Cricetulus griseus: one gene and its partners. The protein of the gene in region 4 interacts with the protein of the main gene of each other region in a pairwise test. Links are inferred from orthologs where the notes say so. Each region holds a gene or a part of one and is shown on either strand. Other genes may lie near its edges.

Region 1 (4,173 bases), on a different chromosome or scaffold from region 4:
TATGTGAAACAAGTTTGTTTCCTAACTTGAACTAATAAAAAAATTAAAAAAAAACTAACCTAAGTTTTTTATATTCTTTCTTCTGTTTGATACAATTCTCTTCGCTTGGGGTTTTCCTTCTGTAGCTTTGCTGATTTCATTCTTTCCCTTGTTTTTTGTTCTGCCTTCTTTATTGCTTTTATACCTAATGTATACGTTAGCAACCCCTACCCCAACACTTCAGTTGACACTGTGGCAAGTCAACACAGTTCCTGCTTGCAGACTGCCTCGCCTGTTGAAATTTACACTTTATTTTTTTTTTAACTCTCCTTCTTGCCTAAAGTCTTTTGCATTGTTAAAAACAAGAACCAGAGCTAAACAAGCACTTAAACTAAAACAAAAACCTATGTTAAAAACAAGAAGCTAAGCTGAAATTGTCTTTAAAAAAGACAATTTTAAATTGACACATACTCTTTTATGTAATTCACCTATGCACTCTCAAATTAAAAAGTGAACTGTCTCTCCAATAAATGACAGTGTTTCAGAGTTGCTCCATGCTTGGCAACAGGGAGGCCTTGGATCCTGGTAAGTAGCAACAGCTGATTTATCTGAGCCATGGATGGCCCTACATCTGAGTGCAGACAGAATAACAGAGGGTCTTATTGACGGGCTCTGGCTCTGGACCTCCTAAGTAGGCACTGTTTTCTGTTTACTTATCCTGGAGTTTTTACCCTGAGACAATGTTGAACATAGTGTCAACTGGCCCTGGTGCCAGACAGATCAGAGGCACTGGGATATTTACAGTTTCCCTTCTTGTGTTTCCATAAATGAAATGGACAGACTGAATGGAGAAAATCAAGGCCCAGCTGGCTAAAAACCACAACTGGCAGCCAAATACTTGGGCAGGTTCCAAGAGCTAGTGTTTAAAGAGAGGCCAATTTACAGAGCAAATTCCACCTCCCAGAGCAATGACTGGTACAGTGGCTTTAGCACGAAGCAGTAAACCCTTTCCTTACACAAACAATTTGCATTTCCAAAATTTGGAAGCTGTTTTCTTCAGAAATGTTTTTAATCTTAAGAGTAAATCCCTTTAAAATAGCCGATTCTTCACAGGCATAGTAGTAGCAAGTTTGTATCATATACTCTGTAAATGCTAGATTACCAGGGATGGGGCTGACGTCTTATTTTTAAGTTCATTTAAAAGAATGAACTGATTTTAAAAGTTGAGAATTATCCACAGCGGAAACAAGGAAGACCTAAGACCTTAGATGAAATAGTAGGGTAGACAATAGCTAACTTAAACTAGTTTGGGAGGTTCCTAATACATCACGAGGTCAAATGAAAAGCAAAGATTGATTTTCTTTTATGCATAAACTATAACTCCAGCTTTGGTAGTTTAGAAAATGCTCAGTAGTCTCCCTGGGGGATGGGAAGCTGAAGGAGTCATAATGAAACACTACAACTTTGGGAAATAAATGCTAATGGCTCCCTCCCCTCTTTTACTAGGCTCCAGTAAGGACAACCACAAGGATGGGCCATTATTTAATCCTGGGCTCTCAGATGAGTGCCAAGTCAGAAATACCGCCACATCCAGAGGACGGTTGTAGTGTTATAGGACCATCTCTTTTCGCAGGCTAGGAGCAGAGCAGTGTGAAGGTGATTTAACAAAGCTGCTTTCTTTCAAATACAGGCATGCATGCATAAGTGACAGAGGAAAAGAGAAGACATTCAGAGAAAGAAGCAAGGGGTCCCACCAGGTAGGTACATCCAACCGCTGTTCTTTTGCTATCATTCCGGAAACAGATAAAGGCAGCAGCTAGAAGGCATTTACCTCGATATAGGGCACGATCTTGCAGGAGAAATCTTCCAAAAGCCACTTCTTGGTCAACTCATGGAAGATGACCAGGGGTAGGCAAAAGAAGATGATGAGAAAGTCCCAGAAGGCCAGGTTCGCCAAGAGAGAATTGGAGATGCTCCTCATGTAGTAATTGTGACACACGATGCACATTACTGCTAAGTTACCAATGATTCCAGTCCCAAAGATCACCACAGATAAGCACATGACGGCGTAGGCTCCATAGGACTCCTGGGTCAGGGGGTAGAAGGGGTTCTTCAGTCTCACGCGCCTGCTGGTGCTGTTTCCACGGCGCGGACCCCCTTGGTCAGGGACCCAGTCATCAACAGACCCGTTTTGCGGTAGTGCCCTGCCTGGGGGAGCAATGGTCCTCCCTTCATGCCCCGGTGGAGGCTTTTGGTGGGAGCCTTGGGGTTGTCCAGTTCTCCGTGGCCAGTAAAAAAGATCTCTGGGTTCAGGGTCCGTTTTCACACTCTGCTCCTGGCTGCTCCGTGGAATGTCAGCGCCCCTGGGACTCATGTCTTCCCCCTCTGAAGTCTGAAGGAAGAGGTGGAGGTCCGTAGGTTCCCTTCTCCCCAAATTTCCTAGTGGCTCTTTACCCTGGGCACTTTTCCACCTCCAGGCATCAGGTGGCTTGGTTGGGGGACCCAAGGGCCCAGCAGCTGCTGCACCTGCTGCACCTGTCTGGCCGACCCTGGCCGGTGGGAGGTCCCAAGAGGTCGCCCCTCTCACCTCTGCTTCCAGTTTCTCCCTAGGCATACGGACTCGCAGAACCCCTCTTGCAGAATTCCCTAGTCCCCGGGCATCCCTGCTGCCGCCCTGAAGCAGTGGGGAACAGCTCTCCCCCAGACAAGTTCCATTCCTGGCCACAGGGACAAAGCTCAGGACAGCAGAGACAGAAACCTTCAGCAGCAGGAGGAGCAGCAGTCGCGATGTACGCGAGAGAGGCGCGCCCCGGGCCGGCATGGCTCGGCAAGGGCGCTCCTAGTAGCCCCGCACTGGCTTAACACCAACACCTGCTGCCAAACTTGGTGCAGGGAGTTAGACACATGTCACATACTCACCACTGGCCAGTGGAGAGGAGCTGAAGATGACTGGGAGAGCAGGGAACAGAACTGGAGGGGGGGGCAACACACCCCCTACAATCCTGCCGCGTTTGGCGTCCTGTGCATTTCTCAACCAAATCTAATCCAAGCTCTGCGCACCCGAAGGTTCCCAGGGAAAACAGATGATCCACCAGGCTGACCTTGAAAAGTTGCAAATACCACCTGATAGTTGCCTAATGTTGCGACTGGGCGCAGCCTGGAGGAAGCCCCACGTTCCTCCCTGCCTTTGGGTGGTGGCTGCCTTCTTGGTAACAGTTGCTCTGCTATTTACATCCTTTTGGTACAGCTTTATCCAGTCGCTAGTCGAGGTCTCTAGAGAGAAAGAAAAACAAGTCCCCTCCACCAGGGGACTGGCTGTCACAATCCCACTCCCGGCTGGCTAGCAGGGAACCTGTAGCAAACAGAGGCAACACTGATGCTCAGAGGAAACTCTTGACTGGTCTAACTCCGGCCACTTTCGAGGCTACTGTTGCCAAGGAGGAGGCAGATTCGAAACCCGCGGCAGCTGTCAAAGTTGTTGCTCCCGCAGCTCAAAGTTGACAAGGGGATGGCGCCGGCGGCTGTGCGTAGTGCACGGGCGGAGAAGACGTGGGGTGGAGAGAGAGGGAGGAGAGGGCGCTGCTGGTTTGTGCACGGTGCTGTGGGGTGCAGGAGCTTGTCACTGCCACCACCATCACAGCCCTGGCGGAGAGCGTGGTGCCTGGAACCGCTGCAGGCGGGCGGAGCGGTGCGTGGTCGCCAGGGGAGGTGGCCCGGCCTCTCCCAGCCGCTCAGCCACTGCGCGCGCTTTGCTCCAGGCCTCCTCCCTCTCGCCCTCCTTCTAACAGAGCTTCTGGTTTGTGGAGAGACGGGATCCCCTGGTGGTTTTACCACACACTAAACCCACACACGTTTCATTCAAGCGGTTCGCAGCGGCTTTCACTCGGAAGCTGTGAGCGACCAGGGAACAAGGGCGGAGGCGCTGAGCCGGCGCAGCTAGAGGCACAGGGTTGGACTCCGTGTTTTATTCCCCTAGACATTCCAACCAGCCGGACCTAACCGGTCACCACCCAGGAGAGAGGAGGATCTCAGGATGCTGGGTGCGGGCGGGAATCCCCGGAGAACGTAGAAAGGGCGAGACTCTTGCGATCTGCAACAATTGGTAGCAGCTGGTGCGCATGCTCAGGCCTCAAATTACCCCAGGGAACAGTGACACATTCATAGCCTTAGATTCCCCAGAGCAGAGGCAGAAGA
Region 2 (4,110 bases), on a different chromosome or scaffold from region 4:
TGTAGACAATGCTGCAAAATTAAAAAGAGAATTTAAAGAAATCTAAATTCTGAAAGAGAATTTACTAATTCTTTCAAAACCAATAGTAAAAGCATGCCTGGAATAGAGGATGTGGCTAAAACTACAGTGTGATGCTAAAACAGTTTCATATGTAAAACTACTCTTATTTCATGTTAATTGTGTACGTGTGTGCTCACTTACGTGCACCCAAGTGCAGGTGCCCGTGTAGACTGGAGGAACTGAACCCCCTGGAGCTGGTATTACAGCATGAGCTGTTAGGCCCGGGTGCTGGGAATCAAACTCCTGTACGCTGCTAGAGTACTAGCACTATTCACTGTTAAGCCACTTCAGGCCAGCTCCCTTATTTTTAACTTAGTTTCATTTATGCTTACTACAGAACCAACAACTTTTATGTAACTTTCATTTACCTACTAATCCAGATTAAAATTACATAGAAATTTTATATATGAAATTTTCACATGTACAAAATTTCATATATACAGATGGATAACCAAGTCAAAAACGACAATGGATAACCAAGTCAAAGAATCTCCTTGACAACCACTTTCACTGGTACTCACAATCTAACCAGAAACAAGCACTTAGAAGTTGCTTTTGCTAAAAATACACTTAAAACTTCACTTTGGCCAAAAAGGTGACTGAAAATATGATAAAAGCCTAACATCTCTGCACTCATTTTGTCTGTCACATTCAGTTCAACTAAACACAGAGCATTGTCCTTAACCTTTTTCCTTGAGTCACCTTGGAGTCCAGTAAGAATAAAACTTCAGAGGGCAGAGCACCCTTCAGATGAAGGTAATTACCCTTGTCCGAACCAGATTAATCCCTTTAAGAACCCTTCACCCCAGCCCTCCCATCACCTCTCTAACTGAATCAGATTGGAGACACAGGTCAACCACATTACTTCTTAACCAGGGCTGGCTAATTATGTACACCACCTGCCTGGTTCTTCCTCTACTTAAACCTTAAGTTCATGTGTACAGCCCAAAGACAAACTCAGGGGTTACAGGAACCTTTTATTTGTCCCTCTTTCCAGTGTGGCCACACTAAATCAATCTCTGAAGCCGGCTTCTTGGGGTTGGGTAGTCCAGCATAGTTTGCTCCCGCTGCCAGCGCCCAGGCTTTCATCCTAAACATTTTTATTGCTGGATAAAATAGAAGGGACTTATTATTTTAATCCTCTTAGCCTACTAGGATGACAGTAAGATAAAGTGGACTCACCGATAACAATGCTCCACAGGCCAATTTACAATGACATCTCCTCAGTTCTTAAAAATCACAGTTCCCTCCAATATAGGAATTCCTAGTTAGAAACAAGCTATCTAATTTCCCCATAGGAGAGAACAAATGGCTTTCTTTTGGGCTAGTACAGTGACTCACACATGGTAAGTACTATTCCTATAGCCATAAATCAGAACCTGTGAGGCTACTCGGTAAAAAAATAAATGAATAAATAAATAAATAAAATGGGTCTTCAGTCCGGATGGAATGAAAACGACTGCCATTCATTTTTTTTTTCTCATGAACGTAAGTGTACATGGGTTGCACGAGTATAAAGAATTTACTTGTGTATGTACCTGGAATTATTTACCGGTAAGTCTCTCTCTGCTAATACCACCATAAAACTACAGACCCGGACAAATGTCCCTTAGCTCACTCAATCTCAGGCCATGCCAATTCTCCACACAGCTGTCAGATTTGTCAAAAAAGATTTAGTAGTCAGATCACCAGATCAGACAGAGCAATCCATCACGCCAATGCCCGTTCTGACATCAGAGACTATCAAACATATCAGCCTTGGACACACGTATACAAGCGTCCAAGTGAAACAGAAAATCTTAAGATGCTTCCAGACAAAGTGTGCGGGTGTAGGGGAGCCACCACTACTTTGTTCCTTAGAAGCTGGCTTATTTCCTATATATAAAGCTACCTAATGAGTTTTCCCAATTTTGTCCTGTAGTGGCTCACCTACCCCCTTGCAAAAGAGGAATGGCTCGTTAGTTATTAAACGGTTCTTAGGGAAGTGCCTGCCTTGGGAAATCACAGGAACAACGCACGTCGCAAGTCCGAATCGTTCGTGAAATTTGCCTTTCTTGGCTTAACAGGATTATTCTATCTGTTCGTCGTGTCCTCCGTACCTACACCACGAGGGATAAATGCTGTGTCACTGAGAAGAAAAGCAAAAGGTTGTCTGTTGGATCCCAGAGGAGATGGGTAAAGAGAAATCTCTACGCTAGCCTGCCAGGAGCTGCTACTCCCACTCCCTCCCTCCAAAGGCAACCAGAAACGACTCCAAAGTCCTCTGCGGCCACTCGGCAGTTTCCGACCGGTGGGAGGGCCCCTCGGCCGCACAACGGGTGAAGGGAAAGCTGCATCCGCTCGTCCCCCCTCTGTGGCCTGGGCGGCTTCTCACCATTTCCAGGGAGTCACCAGAACCGTCGGGGTGGCCGCTGCCCAGGGCCGGGCTGGCCCTGCCCTCCGGGGTCTTCCGTTCGCTGTTGCGCTTCAGGCCGCTGGCGTCGCCCCGGCCTCCCGCCTCCCGGCGCCTCCGCCTTCGGCTCCACAGGTACATGGCCCCGGCACCCAGCAACAGGGGCGCCCCGATGGCCAGAGCCACGTGCCATCGCGCCAGGGTCCCCGCGCCCGAGCCGGGGCCCGCAGTCCCGCCGCCACCGCCCACTCCATTTCCAGAACTGGGCGCAGCCGCCGCGCCGCCGCCATCGCGCCTCCATGGCTTAGAGGCGGCCATGACGACTGTCCGCCGCGCCGCCGTCGCGCGCGGCCGGTCGCGGCGCCACGGTCACCGGGCGGGAGGGAGCCCGGAGCGTGGAGGAAAGAAACGCGCGAGCGAGCACGCCAGGCAGCGGGAGCGGACGACAGAAAAGGGCCAGAGGTCACCGGAAGCCCAGGGCATGCCGGGCTAGCCCCGCGGCTGCGCCCGCCCCTATCGCGTGTGTAGGGGAGGAATCACTTCCGGGGTCGGAAGGCCGGGTGCGAGCCGGCCGTTCTGGGCAGCCTTTTTCCTTGTGCCCGGCGCCTGCTTGCGAGGGCTTGCGTGACAGCCGACCTCTCCTCCTCCCCTTCCCGCAGGGTGGAAGGACCGGCGGCGCTGTCGCCGGTGGAGCGAGGAGGCGGGCTGTGCACCGCGGGGTTTTTGGGGTGCGCCGGGATCAGCAGAGGGACAGCTCCCGGGGGCCTTGAGAGTGGGCGGGAGTGCCGAGCCCTGCAGGTAACTGGCCGGCGGTGGGGCCGGCCGCCCAGCTGATGGGTAGGTAGGTTTTGAGGTTGTGTCTGCGTTGGTGCCTGTTAAAGACTAAAACCCGTGAGAGGAAGAGCTGAGGACGCTGTGCTGAATGTGTAATCGAGCTTCATCTCTCTGCAGCGTCCAGAGTGGAGTTTGGACGAGTTTCTAGTTCCTGGGGTAATAGCGAAGACTAGGCGGAAACTGAGGAAGTTAGGTTGACTAATCAAAGTGACGGGAGGGTGCCTTTGTGCTCCAGGTGCAGTTGTTAGAAAGGCGATGTGTCTGTTCGGAGGCTCTCCGAGTAGAGGCTTTCTTCGAGGGCCCTGGAGCCAGTCATCTTTACGTCTGTATCTTGGGCGGAATTCCACCTGCCATCATCCCAGCCCATAGACTCTTCGCTGGAGCACTTGTGCCTGTCACGGAACTCTAGTTGGTCACTTATTTGAAACGGCTTTCTTTCTTAAACCTCCCTCCCTCGTTCCAAGAGTATGTTTTAACTCAACTCTTTAATCTGTAATAACTTTGTCACATCATTATTTTGTCCTTCATGAACGCTGGATCAGGTCTCAAAAGATGAAAATTACATTGCGAGGTGTTTGGAATTCACATTGTTTTCAAGAAGAAAAGACAAGCGTGAATAAATAAATGTTGCACCCTATGTGTGGCTCTTCATTTCAGCTTTGAACACCCTTGTGTCCAAAAAATTACAAATGGTCATTTGGCTTTTAAGTACCACGGGATGCTCAACATAACAGCACTGCACGAGGTGCAAAGGAGAAGGGCCAACAAGAACTAATTAAAATAGGATGGCCCCGTTTGAAACTTCAGGGCCATGCATTTCCTCT
Region 3 (4,031 bases), on a different chromosome or scaffold from region 4:
TCCAAAAATTCAAAAGTAAATCTTACAATATCACATATCACTTTTGTAATCTCTGGCTCTCCATCCGCAAAGGCTAGGATATGAACTCGGTTGAGAAAAGGGAACCCTTAACTGGTGTCTCCAGCCCCAGCACCATGTGGGTATGTCGGCACTCACTGACTGTTGCCTGAGAGGTGAATGGATGAACGTGGGCTTGAACAATGCTGCGCTGCGTTTGGACCAAGCACTTAGCGTTTACATAGGTACTGGAGGAGTGGCTTCTAACTTGCTTTCTATCTCAGGAAGATTTTGAACTTGTGGCCCTGCTGCCTCCACTTACAGGTATTTATACAGCATGCCATTCTATGCATTGGGAACCGAAGCCTTATGCATGGAAGGTAAGCACTCTACCATCTGAGTACATCCCCAGCCTCTGGTTGCATCCTTCCCACAAAAACACTTTGACAAGGAGTTCCAAGAACAGAATAATTCACTGCCAACCTTTCAAGTCTGAAAGAGCACTCAACAGTACTAGAGGAAACTTACTAGTGGCAGGCTTTGTTCCCTCCGACTCCAAGTTTCATCTATGAAGATAACCTTAAGCCTCTGCAATGCACCTTCTCTAGGGCATTAAAGGAGGCCCTCACCATAACAACCCAGGTTCTTCTCTTGGTAAAGTTCAATGACCCAGAGAAGATTCGTTGATCCTGTCAGGGAGGGTGGTAAGTGACCAAGAAGGGGAATGGGAATCACCTAGGCGATTCCTTTATTTCACAGATGACTTCGTGAGATTCAGGGAGGGTGGAAGCAGAAAGAGTGCGGGGTAAGGGAGCAGCCAGCAGCTGTTTTGTCAGAACTGCACGGGGATCGCTCCAAAGGCTTCACAAAACAGTGGCTCCAAGAGTCTGCTCCTTAGAGACCAGGAGGTAGATCAGCAAAGTGGATGAACGCCAATCCGCCCGCCGTACTGCACCCCGGGGGGTGGGGGTGGGGGTGGGGCCCTCGGCGTCCGGGAAAACATTTCAGAGGGAGTCCTAGCTGCGCTCTCCTCACCGCTCAACACTGGCCCAAGCCCGCCCCCCCACACACACTCACACCCCGGCTACGCAATCCCCTTCACGCACCGCGCACCCAGCCTCGGAGCAGACGCCCCTCATCCTGGGCAGCCTCCGCCCCGGAGTCCCTCGTCTAACGTGCCTCTTCCCGCCCCACCGCACACTACCAAGTACCCTCGGACGCCGGCCTGATCCCGCGGAAACCCCGCTTCTGCACCAGCGGAAGTAAGGCAACGGCACTGCCTGACGTGCGCGACCCCGAGGCGCGTAGGCTGGACGTCAAGGAGCATGCGCACAACGATAGGAGCCATCTTCTTTTAGGGCCGCCTGAAGCCACAGCGCTAATACGTCAGTTAAGGGAAAGAGTAGCAGTATATGACAGCTAGGTGGCCGGTAAGTAGGCAGGCAAGCACGGAGGCACTCAGGCAGGCAGGCACTCAGGCAGGCAGGCAATTAAAGCTGTAACTTGCTAAAGTGCTTACCTTGAATGCTGCAAACTCTTGAGCTTGAATCCCAAAGCTAAACAAACCCAGTTTGCTGGTGCTCGCGTATAATGGCAGCACTTCGGGCGTGGGGACACAATGATCAAGAGTTCGAAGCTATTCTCAACACAACTCCCGCTGTCCTGTCTATAAATAAATACATTAAAGGCATTTCCCTGCCAGATGTGGTGGCCCACGCCTTTAATCCCAGCATTCGAGGGGAAGATGCAGGCACATCTCAAGAGTTCGAGGTCAGCCTGGTTTACAGGGCAAATTTGAGGACAACCAGGGATACACAGATAAACCCTGTCTCAAAAACGAAGGGAAGGAGGGAGGAAGGAAGAGAAGGAAGGAGGAAGAGAGGGAGGGAAAAAGGAGGGAGGAAAAAAGAAAGATACTTCCTAGGTTTCTCTAACTTTAAACATACAACTCAAAACAGGGGGTTGGGAATCTATAGTTTAAGTTGACAACTAATCACCCTACCCGCAAAATACCTGGAACATAGGAAAAAGAGAATTCCTAAAATTCAGAAAGATGCTCTAGATACAAAAAACAAAGGCAGTCTTGAACTCAAGGTATGGCAGTTATCATATCTACATAATATTTTTCATTGTGCAAAATGTTCTCCCATTGTCTCTAGGCGATTTTGTCTCCACGAAAACTCCTGGAGTCCAATGGATATTTTATCACTTTTTTCAGTTGGCAGATTCTGGCCATGCTGGGTAGATGATCACAAAAGTACCCAGTTATCAATAGGATTCGGTATCTAAAATTCCAATCTCACTTTCTCATGCATTGACCCAGTACACAGTCAAGTCCCTCGTGTTTGCAAGAGTTTTATGTTTTTTTTTTGTTTTGCTTTGTTTTATTTTATTGGGATTTTTTTTGTATGTTTGTTTGTTATTTTGGTTTGTTTTTGGTTTGTCGTTGTTGTGGTTGTCTTGCTGGGTTGAAAGCACACCGCCCAGTGGATGTTAGGTCCTTTGTTATTGTTGTGCTACTTTGAGACAGGGTACTGGCCTGAAACTCAGTTTCGTCTCGCTTCTGCCCAAGTTTGATCTTTAATCGGTTTCTAAAGTTTAGTTTACATAATTGCCTTTATTGTTTCAGGAATGCACATAGCAATAGCAATCATTAGTGAAACAATAGAATTTTGTTTTTCACAGCTTCTGGAACCCAGCATGTCCGGCTTCCATCCGTATAAACCCAGGCAACTGGAGTCACAGCTGCAGAAAACGCTAAAGCGATTGTCTTCCTGCCCTTCTGTATTTGGAGACCTAGCCAAGGCCGTCCTTGACTCTCCTGCCTCACCCACTCGAGTGCTACAGTCACTGGAATATGCGACTAAAGAAGCACAACACCTACACTTCTTATTGGGCTTTGAAATTGTAGCCCCAACGCCCACAGCCTGGGGGTGGGCGGAGCCTTGTCCTCGGGAAAACTCGGCGGTGGGAGGGGTCTCCTCTCGAAGAGCTTCCGGAACCTTTCGGGCAGAGGCGGAGTCTTCTGCCGAGGGCCCTTCGGAAAGAGGCGGAGCTTATCTCGCATCAGGACCAGTCCGACTGCACCTGCATCCTTAGCTCAGAGCATCCCAGGAGCATCTAAGAGGAAAGCGCAGCTAGCAACCAGGGATCCGACTGTCGCAGGGGCAGTCTGCCAGGCACCTTCCCCTCCCCTGATCCGGAGGTCTACAGCCGCGGCCTCGGTACTCACCGAGATTCCCAAAGTTGTCTGACCTCTGCAAAAGTGTTGCTACCAACAGCCTCTGATTACAACATGGCTGAGATCACAAATATACGCCCCAGCTTTGGTAAGTAGAGTCTGACAAACTAATTTTGAGGCTATCAGTGCCGGCGCAAAGCCAGGTAGCTGAGGAATTGGCGGGGAGTGAAGTCCAGATGGGAGCCTCTAGTTGCCAGCCCTGCTAGAATAGGGTCTGAGGTGGTGAGTGACTCCAAGGCAGGCAGTGGACAGCGCCTGGGTTTCAGCTTTGGGCTGCAGAGGTGGCAAGGCCGGAGTGCCACGGAGGGTAGGCAATCCGGGATGCTAAAACCTTGACCGTAAACCCTTGGTGCACTGTCAGCACGGCTGGAGGTGAGAAACGGCAAGCATGCGGAGGATGTGAACCCACCTTCTGGAGGAAGAGAGGTGGGGTAGTTCGAGCCCTCCCCCTTGGGGCATGCAGGGCGGTGCCCCTTTCCTCCCCCTCCTACTTCTGAGGGCTGCAGGAGAGGGAAGCGGCAAGGGGGATGGGGCCTCAAGATGGCAGCGTGGAGACTATGGGCTGTGTGGCTGGCAGCCAAGGGAGGCGGAGGCCTCCAGGGAAAGAAGGGTGCGGGGGTGGGGAGCAAAAGGGAAGCCACTCCTTAGGCCGGTCAGTGGGTTGCTAGGGCTGGGGTAAAATGCTAGCCCTGCAAGCTTCGTTCTGCACCGTAATGGTGAGGTCCTTGCCGGTGTTACCAAATGGCGCTTGGCGCTGCCGGGCGGAGAGATGACGTGATGTCTATTTCTGAGA
Region 4 (4,032 bases):
GATCTTTATATGCAGTTAAATTCTCTAGAAGATTTTAACAAGATACAGAAAATAATACTTTAATCAATTAAAAGTGCAACACCTTTGAATGGAACCCACAGTCTTATGAACCCTAGGATATATCACTGAGTGACATTTCTATTTCAAAAACTGGGTTTTAATTTAAGAACTTCCTACTTTAATTGTATGAGAACCCATGTGCTTTAATAGCTGATATTATCAAATGCCTAAATGTATAGGACATTTAGAGCAATTCACAATTGTCACCACCAAAATTCAATTTTAAACACAAAGAAGTGCTCATTTTTAAAGATTAAAAAATGTAAAAGAAGTGCTCAAAATTACATTTTTGTCAGTTAAATTTTCTGAAGCATTTCATTATTGTGTATCCCTTCTCCATGCCTCGAAATGGCAGACTTTTTCATCGACTTCAATTAAATTATGTTTTAAGTCTGTCTGGGTCAAGGCATTTAACATGAAAATCATAATATCCAAGTGGGAAATGTAAGTACTTTTAATGCCATCTCCATGACAAAATGGGAACCCTCTATTTTGAGACAATAAAAGGGAAATTATTTTATGGGTAATGAAGTATTTGTTCCCCTTTCTCATATTTGGCCAGGAAATCAATCCATGTTTTTCTCAAAGGAAAGCAAGGACTTCAGTGTAAGAGTGGGTTATTGCCTGCACTAGGAGGATATACAGCAAGGTGGGAGAGTATAAGTATAAAAGGCATCAGCTCTGTGTCGTGCTGAGCAGGATAAGACACTGTTCAGTTCCTAGAGGCATTTATGTGTCCTTTGACCTGCAATAGACTTCTCTGGATAAAGACTGTCTGTGTTTCCTGGCTCAAAGATTAGTCACAACGAAAAATGACTCCTGGAAGGAACTAGGCAATAAAACTAATTGAACTAAATAATTCATTTATTTTAACATTCTTTATGCAGTTTAATTAATAAGTAAGTTCCTTTTCTTGGGGTGGAGGGACAGGGGTTTAATTACTTGTGTTGGAATATACACTTATTCACCCTACAACAACAGTAGTGAGAGAAAGAAAATGAACAGCTTTAAAATTCACCTTGAATTTCCCTTGTTTTTTGTCAGTAATAGATTTAGTTGTGACGCCCAGATATCACACTTCTTAAGACAGTTCCAGATAAACCTTACTAAAACTGTCTAAATGTGTTCCATTTTAAAAGTTACTACTATAATAATAATTTATTAGATTCTTTACAAAAATAATTATTTCTAGTTCTTAACTTTCTGTCTTTATATAGCTTTATGGGACATTTGCTTCTCAAAATCATCCGTAAACTAAGTTGGAAGAAACTACATGTGTGCAATTGTCTTCAAAATATGAGCTATTTCTTTCTTGTAAAATCTCCCATAATTTTTTTTTTCCTAATCTCTCCCACTTGGTTCACGGACTCGGTTCAGGTTTGTGTTTACAATCAGATTTTAAGTAAACGTCACTTAACAGGCTCAGTAAGATTCATAAAAACGTAGCTTCTCTACACACAAGTTTCCAATTCATTCACCAGAAATACGCACTACCCTACCAAAGTTGAGAGCTGGGCATCTTCAGCTTGTACCTCTGCCTCAATGAGGATGTTGGTGACCTGGCATGATTCCCCCAGTGAGGGGTAGACTGCACACTTTAACCTTACTTTCATAAGTAAAAGCAGACTTAGGGGCTTGCATCACGTAAAGCATTAATTTCATAAAGCCACCTGTCACCTGTCTTCTAGGCGCATCTGGGATAGATCCCCTTCAAATGTGCTCAGGGTGATACTTCTGGAGCGTCTATCACAAACAAGCTCACTAAGACACCAATTGCAGGAGTCTACAGAAAGGAAACCTTCAAACAGGAATGATCGCCCAACACGGCTGTGCATTTCAACTCATTCTGGGGGAACACCCCAAGTGACTGGGAGTTTGACATCTTCGAGAAGGACCTTCTACTTCACGGTGCTTATAACAACCCTAGCGGCCGCTTCCAAAGCCACACTCATGCAGCTGCACTCGGTGGAAAGACTCCATCTGTACTATTATCTACTCTCGGCTATTCTTTTCGCCTCAGATCTGCGAGGAGACATTTAGTAAGGCAGAACTCAAGGAGCAAAGTGCAATCTCTTGCAAACCCATTATCTCCACCAGTCCAGTGCTTCCCGGGGGCTTTTTCAAGTCCTGCAGTGTCTAAACCTGTCCTAAAGTGAAGGACAGGGACCAGAAGGGAAACAGAAATCAGAGCTGGGATGGTTATCACCCAGGGGTGGCAGAGCGCCAGGCTGCTGCCGGTCGGGCAGGACGAGCCCGGCCGCCGGGGGGCGCTGTGGTGCACCCGGGTGTCGGCAGGGATGCCATCTTCAGGGAGCACCGGGCTAACCTTGGCAAGGGCGAGGTGGGGACTGGACGCTCACACAACGTATGCTATAAGACACACCCGACCCGGCCCGGCCCGGCCTGGCCCCTGGTAGGCCCCCGGGGCCCACGGAGTGAGGAGCACACGCCTTCGCCCTCACACTGACAGGTGGCTCGGGCGAGCCCCCGAGGAGCCCACTGGGACCCGCGGGGTGTGACAACGTGGCGCCACACACGGGCGCGGGGCGGCGCAGAGAGGTTGTACCTGGCAGGCACCCACGTACCTATCATGGTCACCGGGTGGGTGGTGGCTGCGGGGCGAGCACGGCCTACGCGGGCACCGGCACCCGCCCGAGCCTCCCACCAGCGTTTCTCCCAGGTTTAGTCAGTCATCCCCGGCTCACCACCCCGCGCGCCCGGCAGGCTCAGTGCGCGTGCGTGCCTGCCCCCCGCGCGGTGCCTGCTGGGAGTCGTAGTTTTAACGCGTAAGAGTCTCCCCGCCCCCACAGCCGCTCCTGAGCTCCTAAGGCGGCTGCGGGCTTCTGCCGTTCGCCCTTTCCGGATTCAAACCCAGGAAATGTGCGTCACGAAGGGGCGGGACTATCGGGTAGTAGTGTTGCCGAGTCGCTTAGCAACCAGGAGGCTCACCTTTGGAAGCTTGTAGCGGCTCAAGCCTCGGGTCCCAGTCCTCTTCCCGCCCCTCCCCTCCCCTAAACTCCCTTCACCTTGGAGCTGCCAAACATCTGGATCGCTCTGGGCACCACGAGGGGTTGGATTTAAACCTGTAACTCGCTTTTTTTACATTTTTCCCTGACCTCCTGCTCACATCTGTAAAGCCCACTGGTTTGTCTACCACACTTTTGATAAGAACAAAAACGTATCCTGGGAAGATGGTGGCAGAAAAAGAGACCCTGACCTTAAATAAATGCCCAGACAAGATGCCGAAGAGGACCAAACTGCTGCCACAACAGCCGCTCCCGGTGCACCAGCCTCATTCCCTGGTTTCTGAGGGCTTCACAGTCAAAGCCATGATGAAAAACTCAGTCGTAAGTGATCTTCCTCAATTGAACACACTTGCTCCAAGTCGGGGGACACGAGGTTGTAGAGCCTGGCAGGCCCCGGGATGGATTCCCAGCCCAGGTACTGGGTTCTGTTTGCCAGAACTGGCAATGGCTATCAGTAAGCCAAGCGTGCCCACCAATATGCAGAGAGGTAGACCAGATGGTTAGATAGCTTTGAGGACAGGTAATGTCCAGGGCTAGTTTACAAGCATTTTCATGAGAACTTGTGCTTTCACCACTAAGCCCAAATTATACTTAAGCTTTTTAACTAGAAGGGGGAAAAAATCCTTTTCCTTCTTGCAACTTAACTTGGTTCCAGTCAGCAAAGGGCCTTCTAGAGTGAGAATTCTTAGAAGTCATAGGCTTTCGAAATTTTAACACGAAGCAGTGTATAGCTGGAACACACAAACTCATCAATAATCTAAAGTAACTTGTTTCATCTGGAACATTTTAGAATGTCTTAGAATTCAACAACATCTGACAAAGGGGTATTAGTCTGTTGTAGTGTTCAAAAGCTACTTATGTGAAAACTGGTTCCTGATAGGCCATTTAAATACATTTTTTAAATAATATTAGCTGTATTTCAAGTGTCCCTACCAATACAAGCCCT
Region 5 (3,994 bases), on a different chromosome or scaffold from region 4:
AGTTTGAGGAATGTGCCTCTATTTTTCTTTTAGTAAGGTCTAGTGTGAAGCAGAATGACCATAACTTCGTTGTTAATCTATCTGCCCTGACTTCATGGGAAAACCACTTAGGTATTCCGCCGCATCACTCCCGTAACATAGGAAGCTGAATCAGTTTGTAGTTGAAGTCATGTATTTGTTCTTACAGATCAGGGCATTTTAAAACCTGCGGGAGTAGAGATGGGTTTCTGAAGAACTGACAAATGAAGCTTGTCCAAGCAAACTTTACACCTCCCGACTCTCACATCCAGCTCTAGCCTCACACCCCCACCCCTTAATTTAAGCAGGTGAATATCTGGCAAATTCTAAGCCTGCCCAACTAAGAATGACTCATTAGGAAATCCTGATTCCTTACACTCGGAAACTACAAACGATCCGAGTGTATCAGAACCGCAAGATCTCGGGTTTCCCTTTGTGTTTCTCTCTATCACTCAGATCTGTGCCGTGCCCGCCTAGAGACGCCCTTCAGATCTCCTGGGGAATGACCCTGCAACGTCACAGCCTTCTGCAGCCAGGCGTTTAAAGATCAAAAATGCAGAATCATTTAAAACACCGGGTTTTAATAGGCACTTTCTCCTTCTTCCTCCCTGACCAGCGTGCGTTCCCATAAGGAATTCCAAGATGCCTGAGCGAACAGAGAATCACAGTACTTAGCTCAGAAGCCCTTGTTTCGGGTTTCTCTAGTTGTTTAAGTCCTTCCCCGAAATAGGTGGAGTGTGGGTGGGGCGGTAGGGCTCTCCCCCTGCCCGCTGCAGTGTATAGGTGTCCCGGTGCATCTAAAAGATCGTGAACAAAGCATGAGTTGCAAAGGCGGGGCTCGAAAAAAGATAAAAGGAAAGGAAAAGGTACGGCCTTAAGGAAAAGTCACGAACTCGGGAACCCTGCACGGCTGGGGCCACCCGAACAAGCGAGCAGGGATCCCGCGCTGTCCCCGCCCTCCGCCTCCCCGCCTGTGTGCGCACGAGGCTGCGGCACCTACGTCAGCAGCGCCCTGGCTTCCAGACCCTTCGGCTGCCGCCGTGACTGCCGCAGGCCCGTGCGACCCCTCCCTCGCGCCGTCTGCAGCGGGCCAATCCGCACCCTCGAAAGGCGGAGCCGACGCCTCCGGGCCCCGCCCCTGTTCCGCAGCCGGCCTTAAAAGACCGCGGCGCGCGCCCGGCTGCAAACAGCTGCGGTGGCCGCCGGAGTCTTAGTATGCAAAGTGCCATGTTCCTGGCTGTCCAGCACGACTGCGTACCCATGGACAAGAGCGCAGGCAACGGCCCCAAGGTCGAGGAGAAGCGGGAGAAAATGAAGCGGACGCTGTGAGTATGCCCTCTCTTCCTGAGAGCTCTTACCCCGCATGGCTTTGCTGCTCGGGACCGACCTTCCTTCCATCTCGGCTTTGACTTGAGCTAACTCCGGTCTGCACCTCTGCAGAGAAAGCGGGGGGGCGGGGGGAAGAAAGAAGGAAAAGTCAGCTTGCTAGATCTCGTGGTTGTGCTTTTTTCTGTGTGAGCGTAGAGTTTCAACTATGGGAAGTTGTTAGGAAGGTGGCGGCGGTAGCTGGGCTGAGAAGGCGATGGCTGGCTTTTTGTTCTGCATGTAAGGTGACATGAGTATTCTGCAGCTGAATAGGATCCGCAGCGCCCATACATTGCATTGTGAGGTCTGAGCTGCTTACACAGCTGCTGGGTAATGTTTGGGATGATTCCGAATGTATTCGCTTTAGATACGGTTTTAAATCATAAAATAGGTCTCATCCAGTCACGACTGTGGAATGAGTAATTTGCTCTGCAGTATCTGCTGCGGAGAAGCACTGTGGGAGGTCGCGGAGGGGGAGCTCGGGACACACACACACACACACACACACACACACACACACACACACACACTCACACACCACACACCACACACACACACACACCCCACACACACACACCACACACACACACCCCTCTATGCACCGCCTGTATCTTGGACCAGACCCTCCTGCCTCTAGCACAGAAAGGGAAGGAACATCAGCTGGCTCAACACACGGCAGTTCTCAATCATTAATTGTCTCCAAGTTGTAGTTAACCATGCAGAAAAACCGCTACCTTTTTCGTAGGTCAGAAATAACTTGTGAAAATTTTAAATATCCTAGCTGTGTTATGTAGTCCTATGCTGGGTTCAATCCATGAGGTGCTGGGTTTAAATATCCCACATATGGCATGGACTGTTCTTGCCTGTCTGGTTTGTTTGGTGACTGACCATATGCTACTGCAACTGGTGATAATTTCACTATTCAAGAATTGCAGCTTGAAGTATTTTTTTCCTCTCCTTTTTTCTTTTCTAGCTTGAAGGATTGGAAGACCCGTTTGAGCTACTTCTTGCAAAATTCCTCCACTCCTGGGAAACCCAAAACTGGCAAGAAAAGCAAACAGCAAACTTTTATCAAGTAAGTTGCAACTCCTGTACTTGCAGAACAGAATGTCTAGCCATTGAACAGGAGAGGGGAACTATTATGTGTGGTTTATATAGCTCATGTTCGGAACTTCTCTTGCAGGCCTTCTCCTGAGGAAGCGCTGCTCTGGGCAGAAGCATTCGATGAACTGCTGGCCAGTAAATGTAAGTTAACCTCTTGAATTTGATCTTTCACCAGCATCCCAAGAGCCTAGAAATGTTGTGTCTACACCACAAATGAGCAGCTAGCAGGAAGTGCATCAGACATTAGCACCATTTACTTCATAAAGCCTGCTTTTCTTTCCCCTCGTCCTCCAGTTTAATCATGGAAAAGCATGAGGTATTCACTTCAGGAATAAAGTTAGCCTAACTTGTGAAAGTTAGGAAGAAAAATTAGCCTAAAAATTAAAACGACTTACTCATAGTTAGGGTTGAGTCAGCTTTTCCATTGCATAGAATATTTTCAAAAGCCCTAGTTCCCAGAGAACTAATGGATGACTGTCCTCTAAATATTTATTTTGCATTGACGGTGAAGTTCAGTATATTTTGTTGTCGTCGTTGCAGAATGCAAAGTTAAGCATTTTGCCTGCTGGCATCTTAGTGCTTAAAGAGCTAAAGTGTGAGAATGACAGGTTTGAGTGAAATCTAGAAAGCTGATCGATCATTCTAGTACTAAAAGAACCATGTGTTATCTGGTCACTCAATTTACATTCTACATGCTTGTTTTCCTGTGCTTTCAGATGGGCTTGCTGCATTCAGGGCGTTTTTAAAATCTGAGTTCTGTGAAGAAAATATTGAATTCTGGTTGGCTTGTGAAGACTTCAAAAAAACCAAGTCACCCCAAAAACTGTCCTCCAAAGCAAGAAAAATATATACTGACTTCATAGAAAAGGAAGCTCCCAAAGAGGTAAGAAAACAAGTTATTGGTGTCAGCATAATTTGGACATCTTCAACCCCATAGTGAAGCACAAGAATTGGATACACCAGTTAAAGTGCCAGTGGGAAGAGCTGGGGCTCCCCACCCCAGCTATCCTAGCATTTCAGTTTTTCCAATCTGACAGTGAGAACTGATCACATATTACATCTTTTGTGTTTTGTTATTAAGCATTGATTTATAATGTTGGATACCAAATAAATCAAGCTTTGTTTTATTTTTGGTTTCAGATAAACATAGACTTTCAAACAAAAACGCTGATTGCCCAAAATATCCAAGAGGCTACAAGTGGCTGTTTTACAACAGCCCAGAAGAGGGTATACAGCTTGATGGAGAACAATTCTTACCCTCGCTTCTTGGAGTCAGAATTCTACCAGGACTTGTGTAAAAAGCCACAGATCACCACGGAGCCCCATGCTACATGAGGCCAGGAGCCCCCAACAGAGGACATTTCATTGTCTCCCAAGACGAAAAGGCTGTGACCTGCCAAAAGACTGACCTTGAATTCAGCCTGGGTGTTAGGAAACATCACTCAGAACTATTGATTCAAAGTTGGGTAGTGGATCAGAAAGCCAGCAACCTAGGACAGGCTCTATG

Evidence for each region.
Region 1: the proteins of Prkn (region 4) and Gpr37 interact in a two-hybrid assay, tested with the Homo sapiens proteins (2 studies listed by BioGRID). The link is inferred for Cricetulus griseus from reciprocal best matches to the Homo sapiens genes PRKN and GPR37.
Region 2: the proteins of Prkn (region 4) and Tomm70 come close enough for resonance energy transfer, tested with the Homo sapiens proteins (3 studies listed by BioGRID). The link is inferred for Cricetulus griseus from reciprocal best matches to the Homo sapiens genes PRKN and TOMM70.
Region 3: the proteins of Prkn (region 4) and Syt11 interact in binary tests that used the Homo sapiens proteins (3 or more experiments, as listed by UniProt). The link is inferred for Cricetulus griseus from reciprocal best matches to the Homo sapiens genes PRKN and SYT11.
Region 5: the proteins of Prkn (region 4) and Rgs2 interact in binary tests that used the Homo sapiens proteins (3 or more experiments, as listed by UniProt). The link is inferred for Cricetulus griseus from reciprocal best matches to the Homo sapiens genes PRKN and RGS2.

Annotation. Positions count from the first base shown.
Region 1 is NW_023276806.1:201,855,016-201,859,188, reverse strand, and holds the start of Gpr37 (prosaposin receptor GPR37), read right to left. Parts: upstream 2,801-4,173; coding exon 1,811-2,800; intron 1-1,810.
Region 2 is NC_048597.1:35,067,649-35,071,758, forward strand, and holds the start of Tomm70 (mitochondrial import receptor subunit TOM70), read right to left. Parts: upstream 2,808-4,110; 5' UTR 2,771-2,807; coding exon 2,435-2,770; intron 1-2,434. UniProt on the Homo sapiens protein: Acts as a receptor of the preprotein translocase complex of the outer mitochondrial membrane (TOM complex). Recognizes and mediates the translocation of mitochondrial preproteins from the cytosol into the mitochondria in a chaperone dependent manner.
Region 3 is NW_023276806.1:65,759,169-65,763,199, forward strand, and holds the start of Syt11 (synaptotagmin-11), read left to right. Parts: upstream 1-1,229; 5' UTR 1,230-1,427; intron 1,428-2,682; 5' UTR 2,683-3,292; coding exon 3,293-3,326; intron 3,327-4,031. UniProt on the Homo sapiens protein: Synaptotagmin family member involved in vesicular and membrane trafficking which does not bind Ca(2+). Inhibits clathrin-mediated and bulk endocytosis, functions to ensure precision in vesicle retrieval.
Region 4 is NC_048595.1:289,993,644-289,997,675, forward strand, and holds the start of Prkn (E3 ubiquitin-protein ligase parkin), read right to left. Parts: upstream 2,801-4,032; 5' UTR 2,653-2,800; coding exon 2,646-2,652; intron 1-2,645. Other genes in the region: Pacrg (parkin coregulated gene protein), read left to right, coding at 3,252-3,407. UniProt on the Homo sapiens protein: Functions within a multiprotein E3 ubiquitin ligase complex, catalyzing the covalent attachment of ubiquitin moieties onto substrate proteins. Substrates include SYT11 and VDAC1.
Region 5 is NC_048598.1:46,447,529-46,451,522, forward strand, and holds the start of Rgs2 (regulator of G-protein signaling 2), read left to right. Parts: upstream 1-1,184; 5' UTR 1,185-1,233; coding exon 1,234-1,343; intron 1,344-2,356; coding exon 2,357-2,458; intron 2,459-2,566; coding exon 2,567-2,628; intron 2,629-3,203; coding exon 3,204-3,370; intron 3,371-3,627; coding exon 3,628-3,822; 3' UTR 3,823-3,994. UniProt on the Homo sapiens protein: Regulates G protein-coupled receptor signaling cascades. Inhibits signal transduction by increasing the GTPase activity of G protein alpha subunits, thereby driving them into their inactive GDP-bound form.